Linked DNA regions of Rhinolophus ferrumequinum. The protein of the gene in region 1 interacts with the protein of each later gene in a pairwise test. Links are inferred from orthologs where the notes say so. Each region holds a gene or a part of one and is shown in the gene's direction. Other genes may lie near its edges.

Region 1 (7,116 bases):
TGGCCACACTTGAGAGGCTGCAGGGGATTGGGGCACAGGAGGAACGATGATCTGGGCCCCCCGCTTGGGGCACAAGCGGCCTGGGCCTGAGGAGAGGGAGGGTTCAGGATGCAATTGGTTGAGCCTTGGGGCTCTGGCCCTGCGAGTGACAGTGGGAGGTGAGTGGTTCTGCCTCAGCATCACCAACTTAAGCCAGAACTGAGGCCACAGGGGTCAGAAGCACAGCTTTGGCGGGGCTTGTGAGAACACTCAAGCAGAATGGGAAGTAGTAAGCTTTGGACTGCTCTGACAGCAGAAAGAAGCTGGGGCGGCGGTAAGGATGGAGGCCTCGCCACGCAGACGGGCTGTATGGTTCTGAGCAAGTCACCTGACCTCCTTGAGCCGGAGACTGCTATGAAGTGGCGGGGACAACAGTACCTACCAAATGAGGGGTTGTTAGGAGAAACTAAAGCCAGGCATGGAGTGTGCTGAGCACAATGCCTCGCCCCCAGGCAGGGGCCCGAGAAACGGACTCCCTGTCACCTGAAGAGACCTGGTAGGGTCTGTCCTTCCTCTGGAAGCATCTATAGGGACCAGACCTGGCTTCCCTGCCAGGACATCTCTTAGGCTCTGAGGATCAGCATAATCACACAGGACAGCTCACTGGGTACCAAAAAACCACAGATAGAGAGACAAAAGAGAGAAGAGAAGCAATAAGGGACCTCCCGACTCCTTGCCACCTTCTATGACAGTTCATGAAGGACCATACCAACACTCTTACGGATGGACACCAAGTGTTCCTGGCTTGCAATGGCTAAGGACATGGCCACAGACAGCAGGCTGGGACTGTCCCCTAAACTCATGGGCAAACGTAATATAAAGGTAAGGCAACATGCTTTCCGAAAGACAAAACCTAGCCCGAGTAGTTCCTTACGAACTACGAACGGTAAACGGATGCGAACGAAGGAGAGCCTGCAGCAAGAACTGGTTTCTTACATGCCTTTGGCAAGGACGCACACCAAGATGGAATAACCTTGAGATGATTCCTATGTCAGCTAAAGTAAAACAAAGGATAAAAAACAAAGGCGACAGCAACATTTTATGGTGAGTCAAGAGACGAGAGACAGACACACCTCTGCCACCCCCAGCCGTGTAGCCCTGGAGAGACCACTTCACTTCTGTGAGACACAGCTTCCAGGATCTCTGAAATAAGGACCTGGGCTCAGACTGCCTCTCCCTCCATCACATGGCCTCCCCAAAAATGACCTGAAAGGGAGAAGAATCCGGAACTCTCTCACAGTTTGCAGGCAACACCAGGTTCTGAAACACTGAAACAGCAGGGAATCAGTGCAAAGATCTGGAAGAAGAGGTGGGAAGGTGACATCTGCGCTTCAAAGAGGGCTGGAGAGGAGAATGCGATGAGGGACAACCATCCAGACTCCGCCGCAGCTTGATGGCATTTCTGCCATCAGACACATGCCAGAGAAAAAGCTGCATGTCACAAGGCCTCCATCGTGTGTATAACTTCTGTCTTAGCCAACCCAGAGAAAGCTATCATCACGGAGGAACCTGAAAACAAATCAGAAGCCCCCATCCTGTTCTCTACAAAAATCATCCTAAATCCTTAAAAACCTGAGAGAGATGCAAAACAGTCAGAGAACTCTTGGAGAAAGATAACATTAGGCCACAGGAATAGAGCTTTTCAGCCTGGCCCTGCAGAAGTGGTGTGTAATCCAAGGCCCAGAGGAGAACTTGAGCTTTTCACCAAATCCCAGTGCATGAGCCCTTAAAGAAGCAACATGAAGATATCTAACAGGAAGGGATTCTGAGACATGGGGCGGCAAACATCCGGAAGGCATTACAGCCAGGGAGTGGCACAGGGAGGAATACTAAAGACCTACAAGAATGGTTCAAAAGACCATGGGGTGGGCCGGCTCGGTGGCTCAGGCGGTTGGAGCTCCATGTTCCTAACGCCAAAGGCTGCCGGTTCGATTCCCACATGGGCCAGTGGGCTCTCAACCACAAGGTTGCCGGTTCAACTCATCCAGTCCTGCAAGGGATGGTGGGCTCCGCCCCCTGCAACTAACAACTGGACCTGGAGCTGAGCTGCACCCTCCACAACTAAGACTGAAAGGACAACAACTTGACTTGGAAAAAAGTCCTGGAAGTACACACTGTTCCCTAATAAAGTCCTTTTCCCCTTCCCCAATAAAATCTTTAAAAAAAGACCCTGGGGTGATGGGCTGTGCTGTTACTAAGGGCCATGTGGGGTCCACTGACCACCAGTTTCCAGGTAAAAGCCAGGCAGTGCAGTCCTGCCCTCACACCGCACAGCCTGTACCCTCACTGCTGCACACAGGGCTGGCAGGAGCAGCTGCGGCCTCCCTGGGACAGGCACCCCTTGGTCGTGGCCACCCCTGTGTCCGGTAAGGAGACCAGTCCCTTTCCCCCTTCTTCTGCCCACCTGCTGAGAAGCATGATGAGAACGGCAGCCTCGCCTCAGTCAGGGACACGTGTATGGTTCCAAGAGCCAAATTCCAACTGCTTTACTAAGGCTGGAACTGACTCCTGATTATTGAAAATAACAGACTTCCCTTTTCTCTAATAAAAACCCAACTACTGCAGAACTCAAAAATAGCTTTTAAAATCCAGCTGTATTAAAAGTTCCTTTTTCTCCATCAATCAGCTGCCCCAAAGAAACCTTCCCACATCCCACAGCTCCTTAGAAGGGGCCAGCTAATTGTAACGCCTAGCACCTTATCTTTTCTCCACACGCAGCGCCCCTCCTCCAGCATTATCCTAAAATAGCAGCAGTCCGGATTAGCACGGCGGGAAGAGTAAGGGCTTGGCTGAATAACATCTTAATTAATGAGGGGCGGGACCCCAAATAGAGCCATCCAGTGGGAATGAACTGCAGGCAGGAATGGGGGGCTGTTTCCTTCAACCAAGTCCTGCCCCTGGCTGTCTCAGCTTCAGGCCACACCACATTCTTCTGCTCCCCACCCCGCGGAAGAGCCCCGATCGCCCAGGAAGAAGAAGGCCAGCGTGCAGCGCCCTTACCTTTCAGCAGGTCTGGGTGCACATAGCCCAGCACGTCGGAGACCCCCAGCTCCTGGCGGGAACAGGTGCCACCGTGGATGTGTAGCCAGGCAGGCTCCGCGAGGGCAGTGCACAGAGCCGTGATGGAAAGGGCGCCCGGCAGGGCCGAGGCCAGGCTACGCTCCGGCTGCTTGGGCAGAGCGCTGCCTCCCGGGCTCCTCCGCCGGCGCCCGCCGGGCAGCCCGGCGCCTCCGGGGGCGTACATGCCCAGGGGCCGCCCGCCGTCGCTCCGCGGTCACTGCTGGTCGCCGCCGACCTCCGCGGGGCACGCAGAGCCTGCCTGTTTCAGGGAGAAGGCAAGTGGTAAAAAAAGGGCTGCCGGGGCAGACAGCGGAGGCTGAGGGGTAGGACCTGGGCCCGAGCGGAGACAGGAGGACTGCAAGGATTCAGGGGCGGGGACGGGGTCCCTGGAATGGGAGGTGCGGGGTGAGGACTCGGAGAGCGCTAGGGGCCGGCTGGGAACTGGGCAGACCCGGGGGGGGGTTGGGGAACGGAGGTGTGGGCTACTGGTGGGAGAGAGACCCGGACCCAGGGTCTTGGCCAGAGGGCACCGAGGGGAGAAGGACCAGGCTGGGCCGCGGGGAATCCGGAACCCGGGATCCTGAACCGGCGCTCTGGGTCGCGACCTCTGCCCAGATAGGACCCTCCCCACACCGACCGCTGTTTCTCACCAGTCAGCAGCCCTCAGAGCCGGGATGGCGCCGCTCTGTTCCGTCTCGGGCTCTCCAGGTGCCTGGGGCCGAGCTATCCCAGGCCCCAAACCCGCAACGCCCGGACCGACCCGGGTACGACCCACTTCCGGCTTCCTCTGCCTCTGCCTCCGCCTCCTCGGGCTCCCCGCCCCGTCCCCGCGCGCGTCACAGCCCGGCGCGCCGCCGGCTCCCTGCGCGGGGCCTCACGGGACTGGTAGTTCGAGGCAGTACCGCAAGGCTTTATGCCGGGGAGTGGGAGGCCGACTACAACTCCCAGAGGGCAGCGCGGCCGCAGCCTCAGGCACTTCAGTTCCCGGGACGACCCGGGCTCTCGGGCGGAAGAGGCCCGAGCGGTGGTCGCGGAAGCCAAGGGGGCGTCGTGGACACCTTAGCGGTGGGACCCGCGGTCGAAACTCTGCCACCTCCTCCTCGTTCTTCGCCGGGCAGCCATGAAAGACTCGCTGGTGCTGCTGGGCCGTGTCCCGGCGCACCCGGACTCGCGCTGCTGGTTCCTGGCCTGGAACCCCGCCGGAACCCTGCTGGCCTCTTGCGGGGGAGACCGCAGAGTCCGCATCTGGGGCACGGAGGGTAAGGCCTGGCCTCGGCGCGCGCCCCCGCTGCCGGGGACTCCAAACTCGCGGGTGCGCGGCAGGCGGACACTGGCTGGAGAACGGCCCGGGGAGAGGGGGGACAGGCCTCCTGGAGGTGGACGTTAGCCACACTGAGAAAGACTTTTCTGGCAAGTACTAGAAGCAAAAACGTCAGGAGACAGGTGGAACTGTGGAGATAATTGTGATAGTTGCTGAGGCAAGAAAAGGAGAAAAGGACGGTGAAAAATAGCCTGCGGAGTAATTTACGAGGACGGTGAAGTTCACGTTTTATGCCGAGGGCATTGGGGAGCCACTGATCATTCTAAATTGGGGATTTGTTTCAGAAGGGTGATTCCTCAGTGGAAGTAGCGTCAGTTACTTCTTTCTGAAAGCATGTTGTTAAATACACCGGTTGAGCTGTTGCCCCAGTTTGGCTCCAGTACTAGCCCCCATTATTAGATGGCTTTGATAGTGTCCAGTGCCTGGTTGTCCTCTGCTTTTAGGTGACAGCTGGATCTGCAAATCTGTCCTTTCTGAAGGCCACCAGCGCACTGTGCGGAAGGTGGCCTGGTCTCCCTGCGGCAATTACTTGGCCTCTGCCAGCTTTGATGCTACCACTTGCATTTGGAAGAAGAACCAGGATGACTTTGAGGTAACCAGGCTGGATGGGACCAGGATTGTTGCTCCTTTGTTCCCCAAAGGTGGTTCAGAAACCTGAGTCAACCTGGGCCCATTGAGCTGTACCCATGAAAAGCATCCCAGAAGTCTTAGCTGCCGTTGATTCTTGACTCTCTTCCCTTTTCAGTGTGTGAACATTCTGGAGGGCCATGAAAATGAGATCAAGTCAGTGGCCTGGGCCCCATCTGGCAACCTCCTTGCTACCTGCAGCCGAGATAAGAGTGTGTGGGTCTGGGAAGGTGAGTCCAGGTCCCTCCAGGAGCACTTGGGAGTTCACGGACAGACATCCGCCTCTGTGACCCTGACAGGGTCATCTCATGGACTCCATTCCTTTTTCCTCCCGCAGTTGATGAGGAAGATGAGTACGAATGTGTCAGTGTCCTCAACTCCCACACACAGGATGTTAAGCATGTGGTCTGGCACCCGAGCCAGGAGGTAAGAGTCACGCAGAAAATCTTGGTGGGAAGGAGTTCCGGTATGGAGGCCGTGCCCAGGCCTCTGCTCTTCTGTCTCGGCCTGGCTGTTACAGGGATCACTGTCTGTGACCAAAGGAGAGACAGTTCCCTGGGACTGGCCTGTCCAAGCAAGGAGAAGTATTGGGATCACAGGCACTTCCTGGGCCATAAGTGCTGTTTCCCTGCGTCCCCAGCTGTTAGCCTCTGCCAGCTATGATGACACAGTGAAGCTCTACCGGGAGGAAGAGGATGACTGGGTATGCTGTGCCACCCTCGAGGGCCATGAGTCCACTGTGTGGAGCTTGGCCTTTGACCCCAGTGGCCAACGTCTGGCGTCTTGCAGTGACGACCGTACGGTGCGCATTTGGCGCCAGTATCTACCAGGCAACGAGCAAGGTAAGCAAGAGAGTGGAGCTGAAGGAGACTGTCCATGAAGTTGACAGTCTTCTAGGGCTGAAACAGTAGGCAGATTGGGGCAGAAGGGGGGATGTGCCGCCAGGGGGCACCAGGGAATGCTGGCAGAATTAGGGAGAGCTCCGGGGAAGGGTGCATAGGATTTTAACACGACCAGAATTCTGGGTGAAAACAGAATGGCATGAGCCAAGGCATTAAAGGTGGGAAAGCCTAGACTTAACTAGAACAGTGAGTCCTTTAGATGGAGCACAGGGTCTGAAGGGATTGGAAGAAAGCAGGTGGGTGGCCTTCAAAGGCAGTCTAGCTAGTCAGTCTGCCGCAAAAGGGTTCTTGAACAGGACATTTCCTCCTCAGAATTCTGCTGTGAAAACACCAGTCAGGCCACAGTGTGAGGCAGATCTGTGAGGAGTGATGATGGGGCCTCATGAGGGAGGGCAGTTAGGATCTGTGCAGTGGGGCAGTTACTCCTTGAGGTGCCCAGGACACAGACATGTCTTGGACTCAGCAGAAGTCTGTCGTGCAGGGGTGGTGTGCAGCGGCTCTGACCCCAGCTGGAAATGTATCTGTACTTTGTCAGGCTTCCACTCCAGGACCATTTACGACGTTGCTTGGTAAGACCTCCATCTTCAACCCCCACCCCCAGTTTGCAGAGGTTTAGAGAAGTCAGACCAGTGCTGCTCTCTGTCCCCTTTGGGTGTGCATGGGAACAGAGAGCAGCACCCTCACTTCTTCAGAACAGGCCACACTATGCACCCTGCTGGCTTAGAGCTGCCAGCCCGGTCACAGGACCTGGGACAGACTTAGACCCAGGCCTACACCTTGCGTCAAGCTCCCAGGCTGTGAGGGCAACACTGGCCTTTGGGGTCACACAGCATCGCACCATCCAGAAATACTCATTATTGTAACTGTGGGTTCATGGCTGGGGTTGGATAGTTTATAACACTGGCTCTGCCTTGAGGAGGCTACGAAAGCCACACCATTCCCGTGGAACAGTCAGTCAGAGGGCAGTTCTGACCCAAGAATCTATTCCTAGGAAATAATCCTAAGTAACGAGAGAACAAAGTCTAAGCTTTGTTTACATTAGCAAATATTTGGGAATAACAAAAACAGACTTAAGTAAAGTATGGTTAACTTCATTGGCTTGTTATATCTCGGTTTGAAAAAACTGGTTGAGCAAGCTTCATGACGAGAGAAACTGCTTATGCTCAG
Region 2 (6,938 bases), on another chromosome or scaffold:
CCACTGTATCCTTGTACCCAGCCAGGCCTGGAACACAAAGTAGCCCACATACCTGTGCTGCCTGAATGAATGGATGTTAATTTCTTATGAGAAGGGCAGTGGTTCATCCCACATCCCAAGTCAGACTCTTAGGGAACCTCATCGCTCCCCCCGTTTCCAGCTGTAAGAACATACACATGCCCCTTGGCCCATGGCACCGGGCCCTGTTGGTTGGCGCAATGACTGTGCAGAATGGGGGTCCCCTACTCTTCAGGGAACTACAGTACCTACTGCTAGAGTCAGGGGCTCCTACAAAGTTCATGGAGCCCACCCAAACCTCTCCCAGAGACACCTTCCCTGGTGGCAGAGAATACTTGGCATAACTGGAACCTAGGGAGATATATGTCTCTGCTCATCCCTTCGGCAGGAGCTAATGCCCTAAGTGCCAAGCCCTGAGCCTGGGAAAGTTACTTCACCCTTCCAAACCTCAGCAGGCGTAGAGGAAAAATGCATATGGGAATCCACCAAACTCAGAGGGGGAACTGGCCGTGGGGTTTAGATGAAATGACAACTGCAGCCCAGCCCAGAGTTCAGAGTACCCTTTACCCCAGGGCGTGGAGTTCCCTGAACGCCCTGCTTAGGTGGTTGGGTTGGAGGTCCCATCCTTTACACCATTCCAAGATTCAGGGGACTCTCGGGGTGCAAATTGCAGCAGCCCTGGAAGTGACTTGGCAAAGGGATTTCCCAGGAAGGTGTGGACCCCCACATCGGTGCCCTTCATGTGGATGAGGCTCCCCTGAAGCTGTCTCGTGTGTGTGGTCCAGATGGGGCTGGCAGAGTGCTGGCTTGTGGGCAGAGAAATGGACACTGTGTCTGCCCAATCAGCTGTCCCCCCAGACTATTGATGTTGCCCACTCCTTCCCATCCTCATCTCAGTTCAAGGGGCTCTGATCTACAAACATTTGTATTATAAATTTCCTGCCTGTAATCCTGCTCCACCTTCACCCCCTACTGCCTTCACTGGGTCCAGCCCCAGCCTTTTCCACACTTAGTGAAGCTCCCTGAGGCCTGGCACCATGGCTTAGTCCAAGGAGTTTCAAGCAAATGGTCACATGAGTTTGATGGGGTGAGTGTCCTTTCCACTGACTGCGTGCCAGGTCATCTGAGGAGTAGGAGAACTGAGAGAATCAGACATTCAGGGTTCTCATCTCATGCTCTAGGTGGCAAAAAATGACTTAAAGAAAGCATCCTCCAGACAAAGAGTGGTGTTATGAGGAGATCTACAAAAGAGAAGTGGACATAAGAAGTCTGCAACATAAGAGGCGCAGCCTGTCCTGCTATGGGGATTGCCCTAGAGGGGGTGATTGAAAGTGACCTAACAGCGAAAAAGCCGATATTCTTAGTAGACAAAGAATTTCTAGAAATAAATAAGAAATATGCCGGCTGTGCATATTTGGTGAAAGAATATGTTCAGATAGAATAAGGAAAACAAATAAATGGCTCTTACACAAATGAAGAGATGTTCACCTCACTCATGCTAAGAGAAACGCACATTGAAATCTGTCATGTCAACAACTTATTTTGTCACAAAAAACAAGACACTCAGACATTGTATGTTTTCTATTGGAAGTCCATAGTACCACATGTGAAGTAGTTCTGCTCCCAAACAAAACAAAGCAACACATGAAACCTGAATCTGATAAAGCTTCTAGAATATAAATACAAATTTATAGGCATACAGGGGACAGAAAAACAGTTAAAAGACATCACTGGGGTATAATCAGCAAAACCCAAACTTTGGTATCCTCTCCAGAACAAATAAACTGGTTTTTTCAACACAATGAAATTACAAGGAAAATAAAAGAGAGGCAGAGGAGGAATCTGAAGATTGAAAAAGACTCATGAAATTCATAAAAAAGGTAAATAATAACAAATATTGGTAAGGATGTGGGAAAACTGAAACCTTCATAGATTGCTGTGAGAAGGTAAAATGGTGCAGGTGCTCTGGAAAAGTCTGGCAGTTCTTCAAGTGGTTAAACATAGAGTTACCATATGAGCCAGCAGATCCACTCCTAGGTATAAACCCGAAAGAACTGAAAACATGTATACACACAAAAACTTGTACATGAATGTTCATAGCACACTTATTCATAATAGCTAAAAGTGGAAACAATCCAAATGTCCATCAACTAATAAATGGATCAATAAAATGTATCATATCTACATAATGGAATATTATTCAGCAATAATAAAACAGAAGTACTGAATATGCAACAACATGGATGAACCTTCTTTTAGTGAAAGAAGCCAATCACAAAGGACCATATGTTGGATGATTCCATTTATGTGAAACATTCAAAATTGGCACATCCATAGAGTTAGAAAGTAGATTGGTGGTTGCTGGGGCTGAAATTGGGGATTGGGGTGGGGGCAAAGGGGAATTGATGTGGTAAACTCTGTGAATATATTAAACACCATTGAATTGTACACTTTAAATGGTGAAGAGTAGTAAGCTATGTGAATCATATCTCAAAACTGTTAATAAAAAGAAAAACACATTTACCAATTTTCAAAGTATGGGCCTTATTTGAATCCTGATTTTTTTTTAAAAAAAAAAACCCTGTAAATCTATCATTTATGAGATATGAAATAAGAACATTTTAGATATTTTATTATATATACATATACACAGCTTTTTTTAGTAGGACATGTTGAAAAATTTATAGATGATATGTTTGGAATTTGTTTCAAATAATGGTGCATGGGAGAGGTGATAATCCAGACAAAACGAGCTTTTTGATTATTGTTGAAAGTAGATCATGGATGCATTGGGTTCGTTATATTATACTCTCTACTTCTGACAGGTAGCCCCTTGGTGGTGTGTGGCCTTGGGCAGCCCATACCCTCTCTGGGCTTCAGGGTGCAGGGACGTATCCAGTTAGGCTCCCAAATTCCCTGGTGCTATCTTTACTGACTCTCACCTCCCCGGCGCCTTCCCTCCTGTAGGCTCAGATTCTGCATCTGCGGAATTTGGCAGATCTGAGCCTGGTTTCATAATACAATGTAAAAAACGAAAAGAAAAATCCTCAGGGAGTTATACTACCCTGTACCTTTTAGACCAACATGGGTTAATATGATTGATGCCACCTGATGTAAGGCTAGAGTCAGCAGCTACTCACAGGTTCCACAGAGGGCAATTGAGCGATGCCTTTCCAAGTCAGAGAGCCCACCCCTCTCCTGAGCGACATGCTATCTACACACAGTTCCTTGCAGATGTGATGTTTGTCCATTTAATTCACTGCCACCACCAGCCTCTCAGGTCGGGAGTTTGAACTGGGCAGGGAGTAGGTGGAGCGCGCCAAGTGGGTGAAAGAAAGGTGGGTTTGGCAGGAGAGCCGAACTGAGCAAGCAAAGGTCAGTGGCAGGTGGGCACTAGCACGGCCGCTTCCCCTCTGCCCAGGCCCCCTTGGGTCACCTCGGAAGGGGCCAGCGAGGCTTCTGCAGCCCCTCTGCAATACGATGAACCCTCTCCTCAAACCTGAGTTCAGTGTCCTTATAGTTACAGGCCTGACAAAGGTGTTCCGGGGTGGAGCAAGGGAACTCTAAGCCAGGAAAAGGGAAGGGAAGAAGCCAGGAACCCAGGAGAGCTTCCTTGAGGAGGTGCACCATCAGGATTCCCACAGATGGAGAAATGGGAACGATCTAGGTTCAGCATGAAGGAAACCGCATGAGGAAAGGCAGGGGGGTGTGACCGCCCTTCATCCTGAAAGTTCCTCCTTCCTTTCAAGATCTTTCCTGGGTCCACCTTCCTTATCTCTTTATTGTCTGTCCCTAGTCTGAGGGCTCCACGGACCCCCTCCCACCTGCAACATAGCTCACTTTCTGAAATGCACATGTGACTGTGGCACTTGTTTTAAGGATACCCCCAACCCTACCACGTGGCTTTCCCTCTCCCCACCTCCCGCCAAGATCGAGTCAACGGTCACTTATTCATTTGATAAACATTTAAAGAATGTCTCCTGATTTGCACTGTGGGGACCCTGCAGGGTACTCCTTGGCCCATGGTGCGGCGGGGGATGCAGGCGCATCCCCGGGAGGTACCGAAACGTATGCCAGGAAAGATGCAACTATGGGAACAGAAGCGCCCGCCCAGCCTAAAGGGACAAACGTCCGAGGAAGTGGTGCCTGAAGATACACCTGGCTCAATCTCAGACTGGTCTTCAGTGCCCCCGAGAACCCGCTGTGGCCTCCGCGGTCCAGCACGCTACGGGACCTCACCGCCCAGCGCGTCTTCTCTGTGCCTAGACGTAGCGGTCACATCCTCGGGAGTCGGCACAGCGAGCGTGCGAAGGGCGCAGGCCCTCCTAAGGCCTAGGCCGACCAGCCGCAGCACTGCATGTCCCTCGCGCGACCCCGTCGTCCCGCCACGCCCCTTCCCGTTCCCCGGAAGTACACCCTAAGGAGCGGAAGTGCTTGCCGACTGGGGTCTGCCGCGGTTCCGCGATGGTGGGTGGCAGTGGGACGCGGCATGGCCTCCTGGAAAACGCTAACCCCCTCATATACGAGCGCTCCGGGGAGCGGCCAGTGACCGCGGGCGAGGAGGACGAGCAGGTTGCGGACATTATCGACGCGCGCGAGATCTTCGATATCCGCTGTTGCCGGGCGCGGGCGGGTTCGCAGGGGCCTGGGAGGGGGCATGAAGTGACGTCCGATAGTTGGTGGAGCTGTATCATGTCCAGGCATTCCCAGAGGGGGGTTCTGAGTGGGCAAAGGCGCAGAGTCCGCTTTCCTTCACTTGCCACATCTCATTCGATCTATCAATGACCCGGAGCATCCACTGACGCTGGAAGAATTGAACGTCGTAGAGCAAGTCCGGGTTCAGGTGAGTTACCCAGCGTCGGAGGTGAGCGACTTGTTTGGGAGAGTCAGAAAGCTGCGTGAGCGCCCAGGGTCTGGCGTTCTTTCAGTTCACGGACTCTTCAGGGGATCTTTGGAAGGGAGGGATTGTGTCCATTTTATGGATGAGGAAACTAAAGCCCATAGAGGTTAGATGACTTGCCTGAAGCCACAAACTAAGAAGAGCAGCTCTGGGCTAAAAGGGCCATGACTAACACCCCCCACCAACCAGGTGAGCGACCCTGACAGCACAGTGGCGGTGGCCTTCACACCCACCATTCCTCACTGCAGCATGGCCACCCTTATTGGCCTGTCCATCAAAGTCAAGCTTTTGCGATCTCTTCCTCAGCGTTTCAAGGTAAGCTGGACGTGAGCCCTGGGGGTGGGGCAAGGGTGAGCATCTGCTAGTACTAAGGGGGACATAGAGAGCATGAACACGGACATCAGAGTGAGACCTGGAAGGATCCCAACTAGCAGAGATGAAACTGGGAGGAGACTTTTAATTGAATGCGACAACAAGAATAAAGGCCTGAGCTGCAAGAGCGGAAAAATAGTGAGGAGTGTGGCAGGAAGGACAGCAGGGTGCTATAAATAGGTTTGGAGCAGGGATGGGGCACCGGCAGGCCTTTAACAGCAGTTGGCCTGTCCTTTGAGTAGAGATGCCAGTGGCCCTGGGTGGGTTTGGGGTGTCCTGGACAGGCCAGCGTCCAGAGGCATGAATAGGAAGGGAGAGAAGCGGGTAGGTAGGTCAGGGGCAAATGCTCAGGCCCCGCCTTACTCCCTCCCAGATGGACGTGCACATTACGCCAGGGACCCATGCGTCAGAGCATGCAGGTAAGAGAGGGCTGGTGTTGTGGCATTGGCCCTGAGGCTTCCCCCTTGCGGTGGAGGTTTGTAGGGCAAGGTGGGGGGGGGCGGTGCTGCTGCGTGGTGACTCCTCAGGAGAGAGATCAGCTCAAGACTGAAGCTGGACTGACTTGAGTCCCCTGTGCTTACTACATTCCCCCGCTCCTGTCCTCTCCCCCTCCTAACTACACAGGACCAGGGGTGTCAGGCTTCATAGTAGTACAGGAGGTAGGCATGAGCAGGCAGGTGGGAGGAGTCCCAGAAGGTGGGATAGGTGTGGGCACAGGTTGTTGGGGTAGCCTGATTGAGGCTTGGGGTCCTGGAAAGGAGGTGATGGAGGGCTTGGTTGGCGGGGGTACGTATATAATTCCCTCCTTTCTACCCAGTGAATAAGCAGCTTGCAGATAAGGAGCGGGTGGCAGCTGCCCTGGAGAATACCCACCTGCTGGAGGTTGTGAACCAATGCCTGTCAGCCCGCTCCTGAGCCTGGCTTTTCACCCCCAGTCCCACCCAGGGGTCATGGCCTTGTTTTCTTGAATCACTGACAATAAGAAATTAACATTTTCATTTTATAATAAATCTTTAATTTATATTCCTTTCTCAGCATGCCTTAGAGTCTTTCTTCGTGGTGGGGTCACTTTGGGTTTGGGAGGGGGTGGTGCTAGGTCAATGAGGTGCAGTTTACTTGTATTTAAAAAATTTCTCCGAATGGTTTGATTGGAAAACTTGCAAGTATACCAAAAAATTGAGAGTAGAGTAATGAACACACCTATGAGGTGTGATCAAACAATACGATGAATGTTTAAATTTAAAAAATGCATTACAGTAAAAGGCACATTGCCATCAATCCCCCTCCAAATACTCCCTCTCGCTTCAAACACTTATCCCATCGTTCTTGTCACTTTCTGAAGCAGTTCTGGAAGTCCTCTTTTGTGAGTGTCTTTAGTTGCGCTGTCATGGCTGTCTCGATGTCCTGAATCTATTCAAAGCATTTACCTTTCATAGTCATTTTTACTTTGGGAAAGAGCCAGAAGTCGAGATCCGGTGAATAAGGTGGATGAGGACACACCGTAATGTTTTTGACAGGACTTGCCATACTAGAAGCGATGTGTGACATGGAGCGTTGTCCTGATGGAGGGTGATTTATGGCATACTTTAAAACACACCTTCCTAGTACCATCGAATATCTAGTCATATATGAATTTCCCCAAAATGTC

What was found.
Region 2: the proteins of CIAO1 (region 1) and CIAO2B interact in binary tests that used the Homo sapiens proteins (3 or more experiments, as listed by UniProt). The two-hybrid records come from large-scale screens. The link is inferred for Rhinolophus ferrumequinum from reciprocal best matches to the Homo sapiens genes CIAO1 and CIAO2B.

Annotation. Positions count from the first base shown.
Region 1 is NW_022680356.1:1,913,051-1,920,166, forward strand, and holds the start of CIAO1 (probable cytosolic iron-sulfur protein assembly protein CIAO1), read left to right. Parts: upstream 1-4,052; 5' UTR 4,053-4,219; coding exon 4,220-4,358; intron 4,359-4,863; coding exon 4,864-5,012; intron 5,013-5,165; coding exon 5,166-5,277; intron 5,278-5,384; coding exon 5,385-5,473; intron 5,474-5,687; coding exon 5,688-5,889; intron 5,890-6,430; coding exon 6,431-6,518; intron 6,519-7,116. Other genes in the region: TMEM127 (transmembrane protein 127), read right to left, coding at 3,040-3,283. UniProt on the Homo sapiens protein: Key component of the cytosolic iron-sulfur protein assembly (CIA) complex, a multiprotein complex that mediates the incorporation of iron-sulfur cluster into extramitochondrial Fe/S proteins.
Region 2 is NC_046298.1:16,779,120-16,786,057, reverse strand, and holds CIAO2B (cytosolic iron-sulfur assembly component 2B), read left to right. Parts: upstream 1-4,424; 5' UTR 4,425-4,482; coding exon 4,483-4,624; intron 4,625-4,781; coding exon 4,782-4,861; intron 4,862-5,107; coding exon 5,108-5,233; intron 5,234-5,663; coding exon 5,664-5,709; intron 5,710-6,107; coding exon 6,108-6,205; 3' UTR 6,206-6,324; downstream 6,325-6,938.